Linked DNA regions of Arabidopsis thaliana. The protein of the gene in region 1 interacts with the protein of each later gene in a pairwise test. Each region holds a gene or a part of one and is shown in the gene's direction. Other genes may lie near its edges.

Evidence for each region.
Region 2: the proteins of BS14A (region 1) and AT5G66480 interact in a two-hybrid assay, tested with the Arabidopsis thaliana proteins (one large-scale study listed by BioGRID).

What each region holds. Positions count from the first base shown.
Region 1 is NC_003074.8:21,538,495-21,547,998, reverse strand, and holds BS14A (BET1P/SFT1P-like protein 14A), read left to right. Parts: upstream 1-3,914; 5' UTR 3,915-4,223; coding exon 4,224-4,237; intron 4,238-4,511; coding exon 4,512-4,659; intron 4,660-4,937; coding exon 4,938-4,994; intron 4,995-5,083; coding exon 5,084-5,143; intron 5,144-5,277; coding exon 5,278-5,367; 3' UTR 5,368-5,640; downstream 5,641-9,504. Other genes in the region: AT3G58180 (ARM repeat superfamily protein), read right to left, coding at 2,018-2,050, 2,134-2,252, 2,348-2,474, 2,618-2,756, 2,842-3,077, 3,169-3,302, 3,654-3,810; XIJ (P-loop containing nucleoside triphosphate hydrolases superfamily protein), read right to left, coding at 6,122-6,174, 6,372-6,628, 6,759-6,898, 7,033-7,683, 7,803-7,922, 8,022-8,227, 8,327-8,504, 8,659-8,719 and 3 more. UniProt on the Arabidopsis thaliana protein: Required for vesicular transport from the ER to the Golgi complex. Functions as a SNARE associated with ER-derived vesicles.
Region 2 is NC_003076.8:26,541,769-26,551,618, reverse strand, and holds AT5G66480 (bacteriophage N4 adsorption B protein), read left to right. Parts: upstream 1-4,618; 5' UTR 4,619-4,799; intron 4,800-5,138; 5' UTR 5,139-5,142; coding exon 5,143-5,884; intron 5,885-6,206; coding exon 6,207-6,629; intron 6,630-6,712; coding exon 6,713-6,882; 3' UTR 6,883-7,078; downstream 7,079-9,850. Other genes in the region: GAMMA CA3 (gamma carbonic anhydrase 3), read left to right, coding at 123-237, 656-799, 874-1,032, 1,121-1,272, 1,364-1,603; AT5G66500 (Tetratricopeptide repeat (TPR)-like superfamily protein), read left to right, coding at 1,945-3,543; AT5G66490 (uncharacterized protein), read left to right, coding at 3,867-4,196; AT5G66470 (GTP-binding protein Era-like protein), read left to right, coding at 7,317-7,704, 7,804-7,949, 8,059-8,199, 8,279-8,392, 8,571-8,696, 8,847-8,945, 9,029-9,130, 9,371-9,451 and 1 more.

The sequences.
Region 1 (9,504 bases):
TATCTTCAAATTTTGTAGACACAACTTTAACACTTATGACTTCTCATCTTATTTTTATTTTTTATTTTTCCGGATTTAAAAAGAAGTTTTATAAAACTATTTTGGTTCTAACTCTAACTGTTCTGCAAAATTTAATTAGTTGCCTGGTTGTTGCTAATAGTTAATTTCAAATATTTACTTTGTTCATTGATATATCATCATTTACGTAAAACGCAATCCTAGATTTAACTAATTAATTGAGTTATAAAGATATACATACATTTTAAGACCATCTGCATTTCACGTAAAAATGAGGGTCTTTAGTTTTAGAAAATATTATAAAAAGAGAACAGTAGTCATTTTTAGTTACAGAGGGTCTACCCAAAGACATTTGAATACTCTCTCTCTTATATGGTTCTCCCCGTGTCAACTCCTCATTTGTTTTCATATTTTAAATAAATTAAATAATTAAACTAAATAAAAAGTATTATTATTAAATTTTAAAGACACACTTACCAATAGTTAACCAATGCAAATGCTCTAATAGATCCACAAACTATGGACCATATCTATAGTAGATTCGTCTACTTCTATTTAAGCGCTAAAAGGATCACTGGATATATGAGACCCATGTTTCTTATTTTGTACGAGCAAGTAGCTAATAGCTGGATATGGATTTAGGGTTCATCTACATGATCACATCCACTAATATCTGGATATATATATAATATCATGTTATGAAAAGTAGTATGAGCATACAATCCACTTAGCAACTAGTTTGAACTACTTGATACAACCCCCAATTTCTTATGTTGCTACGTCTTTTTATATATCAACTAGGTTTAAAGTATCACTGGGTCGGTTGTAGATTTACAAGACAAAATAATCGAAATGATATTCAATACAAATATCAAATATGTTTGCGTGTACGAATAGACTAGAGTAGAAGAACATAAAGCCCATTAGGGATATCAAGATTAGAATACCTGTGCAATTAGACTTTTCGTCTCTAGGCCCAGCAATCTTAGGGGTTATGTTGAGGGTAAAGTTTTTCTCCCGAGTGAGAGAACACTAGTAAAACATTTAATTCAAGGACCTTAATTCAATTATAACCATATACTAAAAAAAACTTATTCGTAGTTTTTTCAAAAAAATTGTGCGAGTCCCACTGTCAAAGCCGCTGAGCCTGCAAAAAAGAGTTTGGTCACACGTGTGAGCTTTGCTACTGTCAAAGTCAAGGGCTTCGCTACTCTTTTGTGCTCTTCTTCTTCTTCTTTTTGGTCAAACTCTTTTTTCTTCTTATTGTTTTAGCATTTTTTAGACAAAAATAAAGTAAGAACCGAAAAGGACAAGAATTCGATCGTGTTCCATTGGTGTCATTGTCACTAATCAATCAGTTGGGAAATTTGATGAGTAATCAACTAGAGAAGCTTCTTGGTGGGAAATTCCAAATTGGATTAGATGAGACTAATCAAACTTCGCATAAACAAAACCAATGAAATGATTAAAAGATAATTAAAGCATTTAGAAGTGACAAAGAACAAAGTAGTTAAGTTGCATCCTATTCAGGGGACATTATGTCTAAAAATACCAATAAGTAAGACACTTCTTTATTACAGTTTTTGTTTTTAATAAAGATTCTTAAAACTTCTTAATTATAGTTAGGTAAACATGTTCAATCTTTAGTACAGTACTACAACTTAGAACTAAAGTGTGGTCCTCTTATTGTTAAAACTTGACATGAGCAAAGATAACATTCATTCCTGGGATGTGTTATTTTCTATGTATATCTTACTCTTCTATGTTTGATTCTAAAGAAACGGTTAAGAAACAAGAAAATAAAACACAAAGGATTCTCTTTCTTCAACAATGAAAAGCTTCCGTACCATAAGACAATGTAATCTTAACCTTAAACATATGAATAGAGTTATTTATAATCGTACATAAAGACATGTTAAAGTAGCAGTTTCTTCTCTCTCTGTATAAAATGTTTGCTTTCCTTTGTCGGTAAATGTTTGACGAAGAATGATTGAGATTCTTAGTGAACAAGCGGGTCTTGCGTGAAAAAAAACTGCAAAAATGTTTCGATATGGGGTCATTACAGATTTATTAGATATATATAAGTGTAAGAGTTTGGGATCAATGTGTTTTTACCTCAAACGATTTCCCGGAATTTTCAAATTCCAACATACTCAATGCTACTTCACAGCTTTGTGCAACAATTGGCTCAGGGTCCTTTGAGAATTCTTCTAGCAAAGCAATGCTCTGTTCATCTGAAAAGGGCCGAGCAATGTGAAGAGTAAGTAAAGACTAAAGACTAAGACAGTAGATTGTTGTAATCTCAAACTAAGCATTTTAGGGAAGATACCAGCAATAGAACCAAGCGCTTCTGCAGCCTCATGTCTAACCATTGGGTGCTCATTCACATCTCTAAGTACTTTGCTTAGAGTAGCTAAAGCAGTTTTACTTTGCAACTGACCCAAGACATAAGCAACCTAAGAAAAATTGCATCAATTACAAGGCAGCACTTATACAGATTTAAGGTTCGAGAGCAATAAAGCAAAGATTCAAGGTACAAGATTTTAACAAAAACAGACACATTCAAGTTCATGAACATAATACAGGAAAGTTGACAAACCTCGTGACGTAGAAGGGCACTACTAGCACTCAAAGAATCAACTATGGCAGAAACAGCTTCCTCTCCACCATGATTCCTTAGAGCGAACAGTGCAGCATATCTCTCATACATGCCTTTTGTTTCATCCAGGAGAACTTGCCTGTAGTTCGATGATCTTAATCAATAACGTGCTACAAAATATTAAATAATCTAGAGAATGTTGAGGTGGTCAAGAGTGGAAGAACCTGAGTTGGTGAACAGAAGAGAAAGACGCAGCTGGGCCTGCTGGGTCAACAGACATGAAAGGTGATTTCTCTGTCGTTGATGACTGGTTCTCGGCATCAACGTTACTCATGTCTTCAATCCTTTTGAGAGCTAATTCACATGTTTCCCGAACCTCCTGAGCTGGATCCGAGCTCAAGCTTTTCTTTAAAATGTTAACATTACCCGCCAAACCAATAGCTCCAAGGGCTTCTGCTGCCTGTAATAATATATTAACAGCGAATCAGTGATATGAAAGAATCAAAAAGCTTATACTGATACAGAGAAAATAAGGATCAACTTATACTCAACTCATGTCGTACTATTGGATGCAAAGACATATCATTAAGAACCGACTCAAGAGCAGGAATGGCTTCAGCATCTTGCATCTGACCCAATGCAAATGCAGCTTCATGTGCTAACAAATTAGATGAGTCTCTGGATGCTGCAGGACATGGAAAAAAAAGATAAACCAGAAGTTAAACACAAGCAGTAACACACCATATCAGCACACAAAGCTTGAAGAAGCTCTGTTCAATCATTAACTAAAAGTAAAAATGTGGAAACTTGTATGTAGTTTTAGGTGCATCAATCAAATAGCAGCTATAAAATCAAACTGCAAAGACTTTCAATTTAGCCTTATACAGAAGCTTCAAAGAAAACACAAATAAAAGAATCAGAGTTTCTACATTCATCAAGCGCCAATATCTTTCTTTCCCAAAGTAACAATTTTTTTTTGTAGAAATAGACTTTATATAAAAAAGACAAGATTTTGAGCAGCAGTGTTAAAACAAACCAAGGATTAGAGCGTTGCGAGGTCCTGGGCCTTTCAAGTTGCGAAGAGAGAAGAGAGCTCTAAATCGCTCCGAGATTGGTTGTGACTGGTCCACCAATCGCTCACAGAGAAACTTCTCCAAGTTAACCATCGATGAAACTGATCCATTAGATTCCATATTCACTAAATCAGCTTCGTCGGCGTTTGAAAAATCTGGACGACGGTGTAACAGCGCCGTCGACTAGGGTTTTTGTATACAAAAGAGAAGAGAATCTGATTCGTGAAAAAGAGAAAAAAAACGCGGGACCTATTCCGGAAATAACGAAATCTATATTTGGTCCAAAACAATTTATTGATTTTAAATTTGACCCCATAGTTTCTATTATCCATTACTTGCGTATACACGTGTTGTTGAGTGTTGATTCGCTTAAGAACGATAAACACAGAGCTTTCTGTTCTTTCGACATATCAACCGTTTCCTTCCTTAATTTGCGTTCGTTGTGAAACCATAGATCCAGGTGAATTCTGGAAAACATCTTGAAGCGAAATCGAGACATCGTTGGAGGATCAAAACGTTAATTCGATTGATCGATGAATCCTAGAAGGTTAGCTCTCCTTGAATGATTTCAAATCGCTACTTTTTCAAACACATCTTTGGTTAGAATTTGGAGGTTAAGATCTAGCGAAATCTGATGATTAGATGTGTTTTCATGAGCTCGTTAATTTGTAGATTAGGTTTCATCGGGAAGATCTGAAGGAGCAGTAGAATAGGACTGTTGCTCTGTATTCTGATAGATTTGGATCAGTTTCAAATTCATCTAATTTAGATTGAGTGGAAGATGTTACTGTTTCTTTGCTGAGGTCTAATTTTGATTTCAGGGAGCCTCGTGGTGGTAGAAGTTCTCTCTTTGATGGCATCGAAGAGGGAGGAATTAGAGCTGCTTCTTCTTACTCTCATGAGATCAATGAACATGAGAATGAGCGTGCCTTGGAGGGATTGCAAGATAGAGTCATTCTCTTAAAACGAGTAAGCCTGCCTCTGGTTCCTCTGTCATGTTCAAACTTGTGTTCAGCACTTTTCAGTAGGATTAGGAATATGAAGTAAGCCCTAAACGTAATAGGAACATACACTTGCAATTCATTTTGTACACTAATGAGTTTCTGTATCTACTACTTACTGCCCATAGGATTAGTATGGAAACCGTAACATAGTTTTATTGGTTCAACATTGTTGTTGTAGTTGGACTCTATATGCACAACTAGGTTTGAACCAGATTCTTATTTGTTTCTTTTTTCATGAAACAGCTATCTGGCGATATAAATGAAGAGGTCGATACTCATAACCGCATGCTTGACAGAATGGTATTTACCAGAATATTTGTGATACTTATATTTTATCATTTGCTCACAGACGCTATTGTTACTGAACATTTTGCAAGGTTTCTATGTAGGGCAATGATATGGATTCATCAAGGGGATTTCTCTCAGGAACCATGGACCGCTTTAAAACGGTATATCTGACTAGAAATACTCTCTCAGAACCCTAAGCCTAGCTTCATTATGTGTTGCAAAGTGTCTTTGACATGTTTGTTTTTTTGGTGTGTCTGTGTCTGTGTCTTTGATATGTTGAATCGAATCCTTGCAGGTGTTTGAGACAAAGTCAAGCCGAAGAATGCTGACGCTCGTGGCATCGTTTGTTGGTTTATTTCTAGTCATATACTATCTTACTCGGTAAAATTGGCAAACCCGGAGTATTCCTGAACATTCATCCATGATCTCATGATATTCCCAGTCTCTCTCTGTTGGCTCCTACGATCTAATTGTCACCAACCAGTGTAATGATGTATGCCTCCAGTGTTATAGTGTGCTCTAGTGCTTGGGATGAGGACACATTTCATAAAACTTATAAAAAGTTTAATATATTTGGATTTTATAGAGTGTTTTACTTCCTTTATGTATAAATAGCGACTGTTCAAATTTTGGACCTACGAAAAAATAGCATATTGATACTTTTTGCACCAGCCGGGAATCGAACCCGGGTCTGTACCGTGGCAGGGTACTATTCTACCACTAGACCACTGGTGCTTGTTGAAAAGTAGTTCGTACAAAACTAAGATATTGGATACTGTATTTTCTCATTCATGGACTAACAATGATCTCATTCATGGAACTAAAATTGCAGGAAGAATTCAAAACTCACACCTCGAAATGATGAGGACAAAACAAAGCAAATTAGTAATTCTGAAATTGAGCAACAATTGTATTAGTGAAGTAACAAACATGGCTTGTGTATGCAATTAACAACATGGAACTTGACATATCTTAATGACCCTACATAGTTATTGCAGCATCTATTCCTGAGGAAAATACAAATTGCAGTTGGAACTAAGTGTAAACACTATAACATTTGCCCTGTGGCACAACAATGGAGTAAAGAGATTGTCAGAACTCCAAAAATCTTGTGAAGAGATCAAGTCTGCACTTCATGATCAAAAGTAATCTTCGAAGCCCCCTTCCTTATCACTGTCGTAGCTCTCAGTTCCTGCAATATTATTGTTCTACAAGATGAGAAGAAGGATGATTCCATTAACAATGTATACCATGTGCAAAATGTTTATATTAAGGTGGATTTAGAGGCTAGTGTAACAAAAAGGAAATGAATTAAAAAAATTGTCCAAAAAAAGAAAAACACAAATGAATTGCAATCTTTCATGGGATTTTAGTGCTATTACCACTGACCTTTGGCTTCTGTGGTTGATAGATCCTGAACAATGACTTGCAGCTGATTCGGGTTAAAAGTCGAAAAATTGTCTGAGGAAGGAGATGGAGCAGGAAAAGTGAAATCGGAATCACTTGATGAAGCTTCAGAGTTCTCAGAGCTGTCAGCAAGATCATCACGCACAACTGGCGCTGAGGCCATTGTTGAAGCTGACATAGAAGGAGATCTCAAGATGGACTTCAGTTGCGAGAATTGGTCCGACATAGAATATAACAACCTGGAATACACTAAACAAGACTTATCATCATTAAATGTACTAGATTTATTAATTAAATTTTTTAACCAAGGAGTAAAAATTGTAGGAAGGAAGATAATCTATGGTTGTTAAAATTACGATTCAATAATACCTGTTCAAAGAGTCTTGTAACTGGTAAACTCTTCTTTCTGTTTCTTCTAATCTTTTACGTCTTCTCTCCCCAAGTTCTCGGGCTTCAGCACATTTTCTTTCGGAAATGTCAGCTCTTTGTTTCTCAACTTGCAATAAGGCCTGAAAAATACCATAAATATAAAATTTATCCTCCATGCATTTGATCAAGATGATAGCCGCAATATATTGTTCAGGATATTAGCACGCTGTTTCTAAAATCTATTCACAATGTTGGTGGATGATAGAAACATTACCTTCAGCATCTCAACTTCTGCAGTGAGGGATTCAATTTCTGTATCACGAATAGGACTCGTTATTTGACTAACAACAGAAAACGTGTTGTAAGGCTTCTCTGAACAGGTAACAAAGGACTTCTGAATTCCATCTTCTACTTGGATGGCATGTTTGGTCTTTCTTTCATGTCCTATCTCTTCATCATCACTTTGATCTGAATGCACTACAAAGGACTTCTCAATTCCATCTTCTGCTTGGATGGAATGTTTTGTCTTTCTTTTATGTCCTATCTCTTCATCATCACTTTGATCTGAATGCATTACATAGGACTTCTCAATTCCATCTTCTGCTTGGATGCAATGTTTTGTCTTTCTTTCATGTTCTATCTCTTCATCATCACTCTGATCTGAATGCCCATCTTCTGATTCGATGGAAAGTTTTGTCTTTCTTTCATGTCCCAACTCTTCATCATCACTTTGTTCTGAATGCAATACAGAGGACTTATCAAGTCCATCTTCTGATTCAATAGAAAGTTTTGCCTTTCGTCCATGTCCACTCTCTGCATCATCACTTTGCTCTGAATGCAGTACAAAGGACATATCAACTGCCTCTTCTGCTCTATTGGAAAGTTCCACCTTGCGTTCCTTTTCTGTCTCTTCTTTTCTGTCAGCCTATACATATGATTTTACATCAATCAAAACCAGATACTTTTTTCTACGTATCCCTACATGCTGAGTAATTGAAAACACTTGATACTAAAAACAAACGTGCAGGGATTGGTTTGCAATACCTGCTTTGACTGTCCCAACTGTTTTCTGGCAATTCTTCCTCTGAGATTACTTTTACAAAGAAGAGAAACTCTTTTCAGTTTCTTGTAGTCAGATATAGCACTGTAACCACGCCAATACGCCTGCAAGTTGATTAGAGTTGAACGTCATTTATAGTTCTTGAGATAGAATGATTCCATGAGAACTTGTTAAGTACGAAAGGGTAGTAATGAGAATAGAACCTGAATCACAGTTGCTGCCCTAGTGGTTAATTTATAACGGAATTCATGACGTGCAGCCATTGTGCGGACTCCACTTTGCAAGGTGAGTGCGGAAGATTTGGTCTTCCCGTAATCTTTCTTTGCAATCTGTCTACGTAAGTTTTTCTGGATTTTGATGGCAGCTTCCTCCCTTCTCATTTCCTTAGATATCTTTCGTGCAATATTTCCTAAAATATGAAAAAGAGACTTTATCAGCATTCCTAATTTCCTCTGCATATCAATGAAACCATAACGCCATTAAAAAAAAAAAAATTTAAGGCCCTCACCTCTCCAATTAGCTTGTATATTAACTGAAGCCCTCCGCATGAGAACAAATCGTTCTCTTGTCAGACGAGTTCTAACTTGCCCCTGAATCATCCTCGCTGATTCGCCGAGCACCCTTGTTCTGTGTGCATCTAACTCAGCCATCTGACCAGCTCTCAGGAAAACCTTACTTTTTCCAATCTGCAAATTAGATTTTATATGATCAACACGCACCTAGGGGAGTTATGCTATCTGAGAAACTCAAATTTCATAGAATACTGAAGATTCTACACGTATTCAACTCATGCAAAATTGGGATTCCTTTTACATTTAGTGAACTTCCTAGGAACTTTACCTGGTAACCTGTAAGCCCTTTTTTCTCCAAAATCCATTTGCATGCAACTTCTGCTTCGTACCTGATTAGTGTAAGGTAAGAAAACTGTGATAAACAGACTCAAGGAGCAATTTATCATACAAGAGTGGAAGAAAGGTCCAAGCTTAACGGGGAGAACTGATACATACTCTCCTTTCAGAATTTCCGGTGCAAGAATGAGAAATCGATTTAAAAATTCAATGAAAGTTCTATTTGTTGGATATCCAGCGCATTTCACTCTGATGGCCTCAAGAACACCCTGCATAAGACAAATATCATATAACACCTCAAGACATCAAAGATGTTGGTATGAATTATTCAGAAGAAAACAGACCCCAGAGCGTAACTGATGCAAGACATTGGCATTGTCAAACACTGTTGGTTGCAACAAATTGTTTGGCTTAACACATCTGATGTAGTGGGGTTCCGTAGAGTTCAATGTCTCCATCAGCTGTTGCAATTGTAGCTGCACCAATTACTTAAACATGTCAGTCCGTACAGATGATGAATGTGGCATCAAAATTTCAACAATATCTTATGTGTGGTCCAATAATGCAGTCTTATCTATTAGTTAAAAGTCTTAATGGATTTGCAGGCAAGTCACCTTGAAACGAGCGCCAATTGAAGAAAACTTGGATTTGCTACTTTCTTTAGGAAGAGGAGGAAAGAGGCCTGACACAAAAGAACATTTGGAAGCATTTAACAAATCCTGATGCTCGGCGACAACATAGTCTTTGTTTTTGTCTAAAAATTGATCGGACTGGTATTGGACCTGAAAAGAACGGCATGGGAAAGAGACCTTAAAAATCATAACTCTATACTTTTAAT
Region 2 (9,850 bases), on another chromosome or scaffold:
TGGGGATGAGTCGTCAAAGACTGCACTCTCTCCTCTTCCTCTGGCTCCGGCGAAAAACCCCTTTTCGATTTCATTGATAAAACGCAAATCGATCTCTCGTGTGGAAGAAGAAGAAGAACACGATGGGAACAATGGGTAAAGCATTCTACAGCGTAGGATTCTGGATCCGTGAAACTGGTCAAGCACTTGATCGGCTCGGTTGTCGCCTCCAAGGGAAAAATCATTTCCGAGAACAGCGTATGTCTTTTGGATCGCCTTGTCTTCTCTTAGTTCCATTCGAATCCTGGTGATGATTTTTTTTTGTTTCATTACTCGTCGGGTCTTCGAAATGTTTGTGTATTTCTCTGGAATCAGGTCATAGTTTTGATTGATGCGTTTCCTCTTATGTTGATGATTGATTATGGCATTTTTGATTAGAAACCTTAGAGCTTAAGATCAAATGTTCTTCATTTTGCTAGTGACGGTATCCATTTCTGTGGTTGCGAAGAGAGATTCTCGTTAATTTTCTCTTACAAGTTCCTCTTATGTTCTCTGTATTTGGCTAGTTATTATCCTAGTTGAAATCTTCTTCACTTAGACAAGTCTGTTATGTGTTAGCCTGTGCTATGATGGGTGGTTCACTTGTCTATCTTCTGAAACTCTTTTTTTGTTCCAGTATCAAGGCACCGCACACTCATGAATGTTTTTGACAAAACCCCTAATGTGGATAAGGGGGCTTTTGTGGCTCCTAACGCTTCTCTCTCTGGTGATGTCCATGTGGGAAGAGGTTCTTCCATTTGGTATGGATGTGTCTTGAGAGGTAAGCTGCTGGAGTATTTGACATTGTTGATTCAAATGTGCTTTCATTGAGAGGATAGGCACTCTTTAGTTCAGACATACCCTTTGATTTAATGACCGACTCTGCAGGAGATGCTAACAGCATTAGTGTTGGAGCTGGGACCAATATTCAGGACAACGCTCTTGTCCACGTTGCTAAGACCAACTTAAGTGGGAAGGTCTTACCTACTGTCATTGGAGACAATGTCACCATTGGTAAATTCTCAATACATTTGCTGTCATAAAATTGAAGTGTGAATATTAAAGTCAGGGTAATGGATAAAGCAAATTGAATTTGGAGCAGGTCATAGTGCTGTTTTACATGGCTGCACTGTCGAGGATGAGGCCTATATTGGTACAAGTGCAACTGTCTTGGATGGAGCTCATGTTGAAAAACATGCCATGGTTGCTTCAGGAGCTCTTGTTAGGCAGAACACTAGAATTCCCTCTGGCGAGGTTCTTAGCCACGCTCTTATATGTTGACCTTCTCAAACGTTTGTTATTCGCTTAAGCTCTGGTGAAATTACAATTCTGGTTTTCCTTGCAGGTTTGGGGAGGCAACCCAGCTAAATTTCTGAGGAAGGTGACAGAAGAAGAAAGAGTCTTCTTCTCCAGTTCGGCTGTGGAGTACTCCAACTTAGCTCAAGCTCACGCCACAGAGAACGCAAAGAACTTGGACGAGGCTGAGTTCAAGAAGCTTCTAAACAAGAAGAACGCTCGCGATACAGAATATGATTCAGTACTCGATGATCTCACGCTCCCTGAGAATGTACCAAAAGCAGCTTGAGGCGTTTAACCTGTGCCGCCTTGCGAATCTTGATTTGTTTGGATTTGAAAAGTAAAAACAAAGAACTTGATTTCCTGCTTCTCCAATAAAGTTTTCTTGGGCGTAAAATCCATTGGCCAGTGCTCACTGGGAAAGTTTTCGGCTTAAAGGCATTCATTTCTCTGTTAAAGATTGTGAGGGGTTTTGTTCTCTTGTAACTTGAGAAAGAAAAGTTGTAACCTTTTCTTCCTTTTTATGTCGTCTAATAAATTGTTGATCAGACAGACATTTAGGTTGACCTTTGCCCATAAAAAGATAGCTCTGCTTCAATAAGTTTCGTCTGTAGCGGTAACAAGTAAAACATGTTCGCATGTTTGCGTATTGGACGCTTTATTCGTCTGGGTAACGTTACCGTTAAATCCACTAATTTGGTACTGAGGTGTGTCTTTATCCGAAATTTTGCCACCCATGCCGACCACCTGTTCGACGAATTGCCGCAACGAGACCTCTCCTCACTTAACTCTCAACTCTCGTCTCACCTCCGCAGTGGAAACCCAAATGACACCTTGGCTCTCTTTCTTCAGATTCATAGGGCTAGCCCTGATCTCAGCTCGCACACTTTCACTCCGGTTCTCGGGGCCTGTTCCCTCTTGTCGTACCCAGAAACAGGACGCCAAGTTCACGCCTTGATGATCAAACAAGGCGCTGAAACAGGAACCATATCCAAAACTGCGCTTATTGACATGTACTCCAAGTACGGACACTTGGTTGATTCCGTTAGGGTATTCGAAAGCGTTGAGGAAAAAGATCTCGTCTCATGGAATGCTCTGCTTTCGGGTTTCCTTAGAAACGGTAAAGGCAAAGAAGCTCTTGGCGTTTTCGCAGCTATGTATAGAGAAAGAGTAGAAATCAGTGAGTTCACTTTGTCTTCTGTTGTTAAAACTTGTGCCTCTCTCAAGATTTTGCAGCAAGGGAAGCAAGTTCATGCCATGGTGGTGGTCACCGGACGCGATCTCGTGGTTTTAGGAACTGCAATGATTAGTTTTTACTCGAGTGTAGGTTTGATCAATGAAGCCATGAAGGTTTATAACAGTTTGAATGTTCATACGGACGAGGTGATGTTGAATTCTTTGATATCAGGTTGCATTCGAAACCGAAATTACAAGGAAGCGTTTCTGCTTATGAGTAGGCAGAGACCCAATGTGAGAGTGCTCAGTAGCTCTCTTGCTGGCTGCTCTGATAACTCTGATCTGTGGATTGGTAAACAGATACACTGTGTCGCTTTACGTAATGGTTTCGTTTCAGATTCTAAGCTATGCAATGGCTTAATGGATATGTATGGAAAATGCGGTCAGATTGTGCAAGCGCGTACTATTTTCAGAGCTATTCCATCTAAAAGTGTGGTTTCTTGGACGAGTATGATAGATGCGTATGCGGTTAATGGGGATGGGGTTAAAGCTCTTGAAATCTTCAGGGAAATGTGTGAAGAAGGAAGCGGAGTTTTACCGAATTCAGTGACATTTCTTGTTGTTATATCGGCTTGTGCACACGCAGGACTAGTTAAAGAAGGTAAGGAATGTTTTGGTATGATGAAGGAGAAGTATCGGTTGGTTCCTGGAACAGAGCATTACGTATGCTTCATCGATATCTTAAGCAAGGCTGGTGAGACAGAAGAGATATGGAGATTAGTCGAGAGAATGATGGAGAACGATAATCAAAGCATTCCTTGTGCTATATGGGTAGCGGTACTCAGTGCTTGTAGTCTTAATATGGATCTTACGCGAGGCGAATATGTAGCAAGGAGGCTTATGGAAGAGACGGGTCCAGAGAACGCGAGCATTTATGTGTTGGTTTCGAATTTCTATGCAGCGATGGGGAAGTGGGATGTCGTTGAAGAATTGAGAGGAAAACTGAAGAATAAAGGTTTGGTTAAAACAGCAGGACACAGCTTATTCATATGAATTGCTTTGTTTTTTCAGCATTACACTACACTTGAGCTACTGTTTTTGTGTCAAGAAACAGAGCAAGTCCACTAAAGTCTAAAGCATTGTTGTGGAACTGTCTCGTTGTCCTAATTAAGTCAAACACCAAAGAAGACATAGTCAAAAATAAAGTAGCATTGACCCACGAATAGTAGTAGGTGAAAGGGCAATGTCACATAAGGTTTAAGTTAAAGGAGTCGTTGGGATAAGGAGAAGAGAAGTCAAAAGATGTGTCCTTTTCAAAATCTATCCTTTCTTAAAAACATATCACCAGAGAGAATTGATCAAAACCACAAGAAATAATGATTAGAGCGCTGAGCACGAGGAAGGTTCGAGGCAGCTACAAGAAGCTCGGCGACGAAGAAGAAGCAGGCGCAGGGCTTTTAGAAGTGAAACCGGAGAGCGTTCCTACAAATCCCCATGGTCAATCCCCGAAGGTGAATAAACCGGTGGAGAAAACCAGGGGTTCGGCTCACCCTCTATTTAGTTTCTTCGAAATGAGTCTAAAGAGGAAGAAGAAGAAGAAGAGCACGACGACTGCAAAACCAGAATTCGCTAGGTACTTGGAGTATGTCAAGGAAGGAGGTGTTTGGGATAACACTTCAAATGGACCTGCCATATATTACAGATAGATCGGAGAAAGAGATTTCACAGAGGTTGTTTATATTTATTTTCGATTTGTGATATACCTTTCTATTTGAATAAGAAGGATGAATACATACATACATCAAAGTAGAAAGCTCGTCCATAAGCCATGATTCTGCTTCTTTGTGGACAAATCCATGTAATTTAAGTTTACAGTTTGATAGTAAGAAAAATTCTCGGTTTATTACTTGTTATCAGTAATCAGACTGGGTTTACAAATTTACGAATAAACACAGTGGGGCCCCTGATGACTACAAAAGCCTACCCGAAACACCAGGAGATGCCACGTCACTAAACATACAAAACCCCATCAAAACGCAGCCGTTCCGGTGATTCCCCAAAACCCAGCGTGATACGCGGTCGTTGCGAATGAAAGCCTTGGTGAAGAGGTTTAAATTAAGAGTTTGTTGCGACTAAAGCCTTGGAGAAGAGGTTTCTCTTTTTTCTCTCCTCCTCAGTATATATCTAATCTCTGTTTGCTCTTTTTTCGCACCATGTCATATCAATCTACCATCAATCGATCGTCTCTTCTTCCTCCGTCTGCGTTGATCTTTTCGTTTCGTCTTCTCCGATTGATGCTCTGTCGCGAGGTAACTATTTCTATCGAGTGATTTTGCTAGCTGCTGACTGTTCGATTTGATGATTAAGGTCTTGGTTCCGTGATAATCTCTGTTAAATTTAGTTTAGGCTACTTGATGTTGAATGATTAGTTTGATAATCTCGCACTCTATGGTTTGCTCCTTCCCGAAATTGAACTCTCAGATTGTTAGCTTGTTTGTATAGGTTATTAATTGCTTGACATTGATTTGGATTTTTGTTTATCCGTTATCGACTCTCTCGATGTTCATTACTTTATTAGTTGAACAACGCTCTCTCGCTGTTGTGTATCCCTATTGGTGGATTTCTAATTGAAATCTTCAATGATGCAGAGTCATGCCTACATTTTCTGCTGCCGCTTTGGGTAGATCACTAAATTCAGGGACGTCCTTATCTAGTAAATTTCCAAGCACACTGCAGTCAAAGCCGTCTATTTTGAATGATGAAAGTAAGCAACCTAAAGAAAAGACATTCACTCGTCCTCAGATGTCACCTTCTCTATATGCCACTACTAAAGAAATCCCTCATCCCAATTCGCCTTCTTCCTACCCTCCATCTCCCTATATCATCAATCACAAAGCTCGTGGGCCTGTTCTTTTCAATAGGGACTCTGAGGTGGATGGGCCTTCTCACCCGATAACCTCTGGTGAGGAAAAGATTAGTGGTAATGTAGATGTGGAGGCTACTGCCTCCTTGAGCAAGTCCACATCCCTATCATTTCCTATCACCGAGGCTATTGCGGTGGATCACACCAATGGTGTTCACACCCAAGGCATCCATGAACGTCCTGTTTGGGATTGCAGTCCCCCTCTTGGGACATTTTTGAACGAGAAGTCGGGAAGAGATATCAGCAATGGTGGGATTGGAAGTAATAATGCTACCAGTAATTTAGAATGGCAAAGTTACTTATTGGAGCCGGTAAGAATAAAAGCAGACAAGGAGCTTGAGCCTGAAAATTTCTATAACCCAGGTGAATTAGTAAGCTTCACAAGTAACACAGAGGTAGAAGATTTCGAGAGAGCTGAAAGCTCACACAGTCTTGCTACACATGTTGGAGAGTTTTATGATGCTTGCGATGGTACTGTTTCTTCCTACTAACTTTTTTAACCACGAGATAGCTAGAAAATTCTTATGATGTCTGACATTTCTAGCATCATCACTTTTTGCCAGTTCTTGGAGCCTCTTCTCCTTTAGTTTTAAGTGTTATATGCATATATCAGTATGTGATTTTGGTTGTGAAGTGGCCTTTTAGGCTTGGGATTCCTGTGTTTATAGTCATCTTGAATTCGTGATAGTTATGAATCAGATTTCCAAAGACATAGAAAATCTGCATGCATGATTCACTGGTATATCTAAGAAACTGGTTTTAATTTATTCAGTTACTGTTTCTTGGCTTCCAGAACTATCAACTGACAGTGGAATGCAGAGTTCAGCTAACAACATTGAATCTGAGGTAAGGGAGATGAGATTGGGTTTACTAATGGAAATCGAAAGGAGGAGGCAGGCAGAGGCGACTCTAGAGCAAATGCAAGTTCATTGGCGGAGGCTCCGTGACCAGTTGGCCGATGTGGGTATGTTCCTTCCTCTTGATCCCACCAGAAGCCAATACAGCATGAACCTAGCTGATGAGCTACGTTGTCAACTTGAGGTCACCAGGTTTGTCTCCGACACACTAGGCAGTGACTTGGCCAAGACAGAGGTAGAGATGGAGATGGAAGCTGAGCTCGAAGCTAAGAACTTTGAAATCACCCGGTTGTCTGACCGTCTTCATTATTACGAGACTGTGAACCAGGAAATGTCCCAGCGCAACCAAGAGGCCATAGGTAGAAGAAACTCAAGTTAAATTTACAAGAATGTCTTATCTTATTTTTCTTTATCTCAATGCTTCAACTCTCTTTGATATCAGAGGTGGCAAGGCGAGACGGGCAAAAGAGAAAGAGGAGGCAGAGGTGGATTTGGGGATCAATAGCTGCAACCATCACACTCGGGAGTGGAGTCTTGGCCTGGTCGTACCTTCCTCCCGGAATGTTATCATCAGATGAAGCTCAACCTCAGCTGTCTCCAAAAGATTCATAATGAGGTTGAATCAAAGCTTCAGGCCTTGTGAATAAAAATAGGAAAATGGGTTTTGTTTTAACCTTTTCTAGAGAATGTATAGAACATTCATGATGACGACATAACTCAGCTTCATACGATCAAGGTCATACCAATTTGGTTCTGTTTGTGTCGCTTATTGACTTGCAATGTTATTATTAGCCAGAAGTTCCGTGCCTGATTCTTGCTTTTGTTATGTTGGTTCTTAAATTTAACGAGGGGGGTAACTGGGTAAAGAAAAATAAAGGCGGTTGAAATGGGAATTATATTTAACAAGGGGTGTAAGTGGAAATAACAAATTCTGAAACGGCGTCGTATGAAGATCATATTTGGTTCCTTCGCTAATCACTAAAGAAAGCACCTGTGAGGAAAAACCAACCAGTGAGAGCTATCAATTTGAAAAACCAAGTCCAACAATGGCGGTCTCTCCGCATATTTCGCCTACTCTTTCCCGCTACAAATTCTTCTCTACTTCCGTTGTTGAAAACCCTAATTTCTCTCCGTATCGTATCTATAGTCGGCGGAGAGTTACCAAATCACATCTCCAGGCGCACAACAGTACCACTAGCTATGGCCGGACGGAACTCTCCTCCTCGAAGAAGCTATGGATTAGGCAACGAAGCTTCAGCGAAATGGAGGTTGAGCAAGCACAATTAGAAGATGATGAAGAACAAGTGGAGATCGATATCGTCGACGAAGCCAGTCTTCTCTCCCTGAGCATGAAACCGGACAGAAACATGGCGTTGCTCGACGATTATGAGATGGAGGAGCTTGGACACACGCCTAATACTCATCATCGGAGCGGTTTGTTTGTTTTCTCCCTAAACCCTATTCTTACTGAGAAATTGAAATTTGGTTATTACGACTGGGAAACTGAATTTGGTGATTACGGATGTTATATAGGATATGTGGCGGTGGTGGGGATGCCCAACGTCGGGAAAAGCACGCTTTCGAATCAAATGATTGGTCAGAAAATATCGATTGTTACAGATAAACCTCAAACGACGAGGCATCGGATTCTTGGTATTTGTTCTAGCCCTGAATATCAGGTTTGTTTATCTAAGCCTCATTGATTTTTGACTCTTAAAAGAACCAGGTGTTCATTGCTTGGTTTGATATAGAAATTAAGATGTCGACTGATACAAGCTTGTGTTGCAGATGATACTTTATGATACGCCTGGTGTAATTGAGAAGAAGATGCACAGGTTAGATACAATGATGATGAAGAATGTCAGAGATGCTGCCATCAATGCGGACTGCGTAGTAATTCTTGTTGATGCTTGTAAAACGCCTACTAATGTATGCTTCTCTGTTTGATTTGTTTCTCATGCTTTGTTAGTTTAGTTTCCTGTCCTAATTTCTGGTGTTGTGTGCTTAGATAGAAGAAGTTTTGAAAGAGGGTTTGGGAGACCTTGAGAAAAAGCCACCCATGTTGCTTGTTATGAATAAGAAAGATCTGATCAAACCTGGTGAGATTGCCAAGAAACTGGAGGTGAGTATGCTGTCGTTGCTATCCTTGAACCTTGGTAATACTGTCCTGTTATTAAAATCCCACCATTCTAGAATGAACTTGCAGTGGTGGAAGATGCTTCACTATAAACTTGAGATCAAGATTTGGAGTCATGGTATTGCTATGTTCTTTGCTTAATAGATGCTGCAACTCCTTGCAGTGGTATGAAAAATTTACGGATGTTGATGAAGTTATACCTGTAAGTGCAAAGTATGGACATGGAATAGAGGATGTCAAAGAGTGGATATTATCCAAACTTCCCTTCGGGCCACCTTATTATCCAAAGGTACTATGCATGAAAATTCCCTGCTTCAGTATTGAATTCCTCTCCTTGCTATAGCTAAAGCTTATAGTCTAATTTGCTTAATATTCTGAGGTTTGTGCTTCAGATGCAACAATTCACTTACCTAATGTCTTACGGCTATTTGATTTCTAGGATATTGTGAGCGAGCATCCAGAGAGATTTTTTGTTTCTGAGATTGTTAGAGAGAAAATATTTATGCAGTACCGAAATGAAGTTCCTTATGCATGTCAGGTACAATGACAAGTTTGGTTTCTTTTCTCTTGAGTCCTGTGAAAAGCCGTGGCCTTATTAATCAATCATTGTTAACACTACAGGTGAACGTGCTGAGCTACAAAACTAGACCAGCTGCAAAAGATTTTATTCAAGTGGAAGTAGTAGTGGATAAAAATTCTCAGAAGATCATCCTTATAGGAAAAGTAAGTGTATAACCCTCAACATCCGAACGGGTAATTTCTGATTTTGCATTCTTGGTCTGAAATTCCATAGTTAGATTTTGTGGACATTCAAAAAGTGCATTGCCTATAATTGACTTGAGACTGCAATTTGGATTTAAAAGCTGTTCTGCTCAAAGATTGTCTTTAAGCCATAAGATCTCAACTTAAGATAAGTTAAGTGCTGAATAATTTGGCTGAATGAATGTCAATGTAATGATGTAGGAAGGAAAGGCTCTGAAAACACTAGCAACGGCTGCTCGGCTCGACATTGAAGATTTCCTTCAGAAGAAAGTCTTCCTCGAGGTGCGCATAAATTTGCATAGAATATGATTGATTACATAAAATGGTATTTTCAAGTATAGGAAGTTAACAACGTGAGTGAATGATGTTAAATGAAGGTGGAAGTGAAAGTGAAAGAGAACTGGAGACAAGACGAGGGGCTTCTCAAGTACTACGGCTATGGAGGACAGATCCGAGCTATGTAGTATGTGGGCTTCAAATGGGCCTTGAAGAAGATGAGAAAGTGCAAATGACTCGGCGGCTCAGGTTAGCTTTTTCCCTTCTTTTTTTTTGTATTTAGCCGATGCCACTCAGTCTAGCTTTTGTTTTTAATCTCAATCAGTTGATTCCTTTGGAAATTTGAACTCTTTCTTCTTTTGTTTTGTCCTTAAGAGTTTGTTCAACCAACCCCACTGAATATCT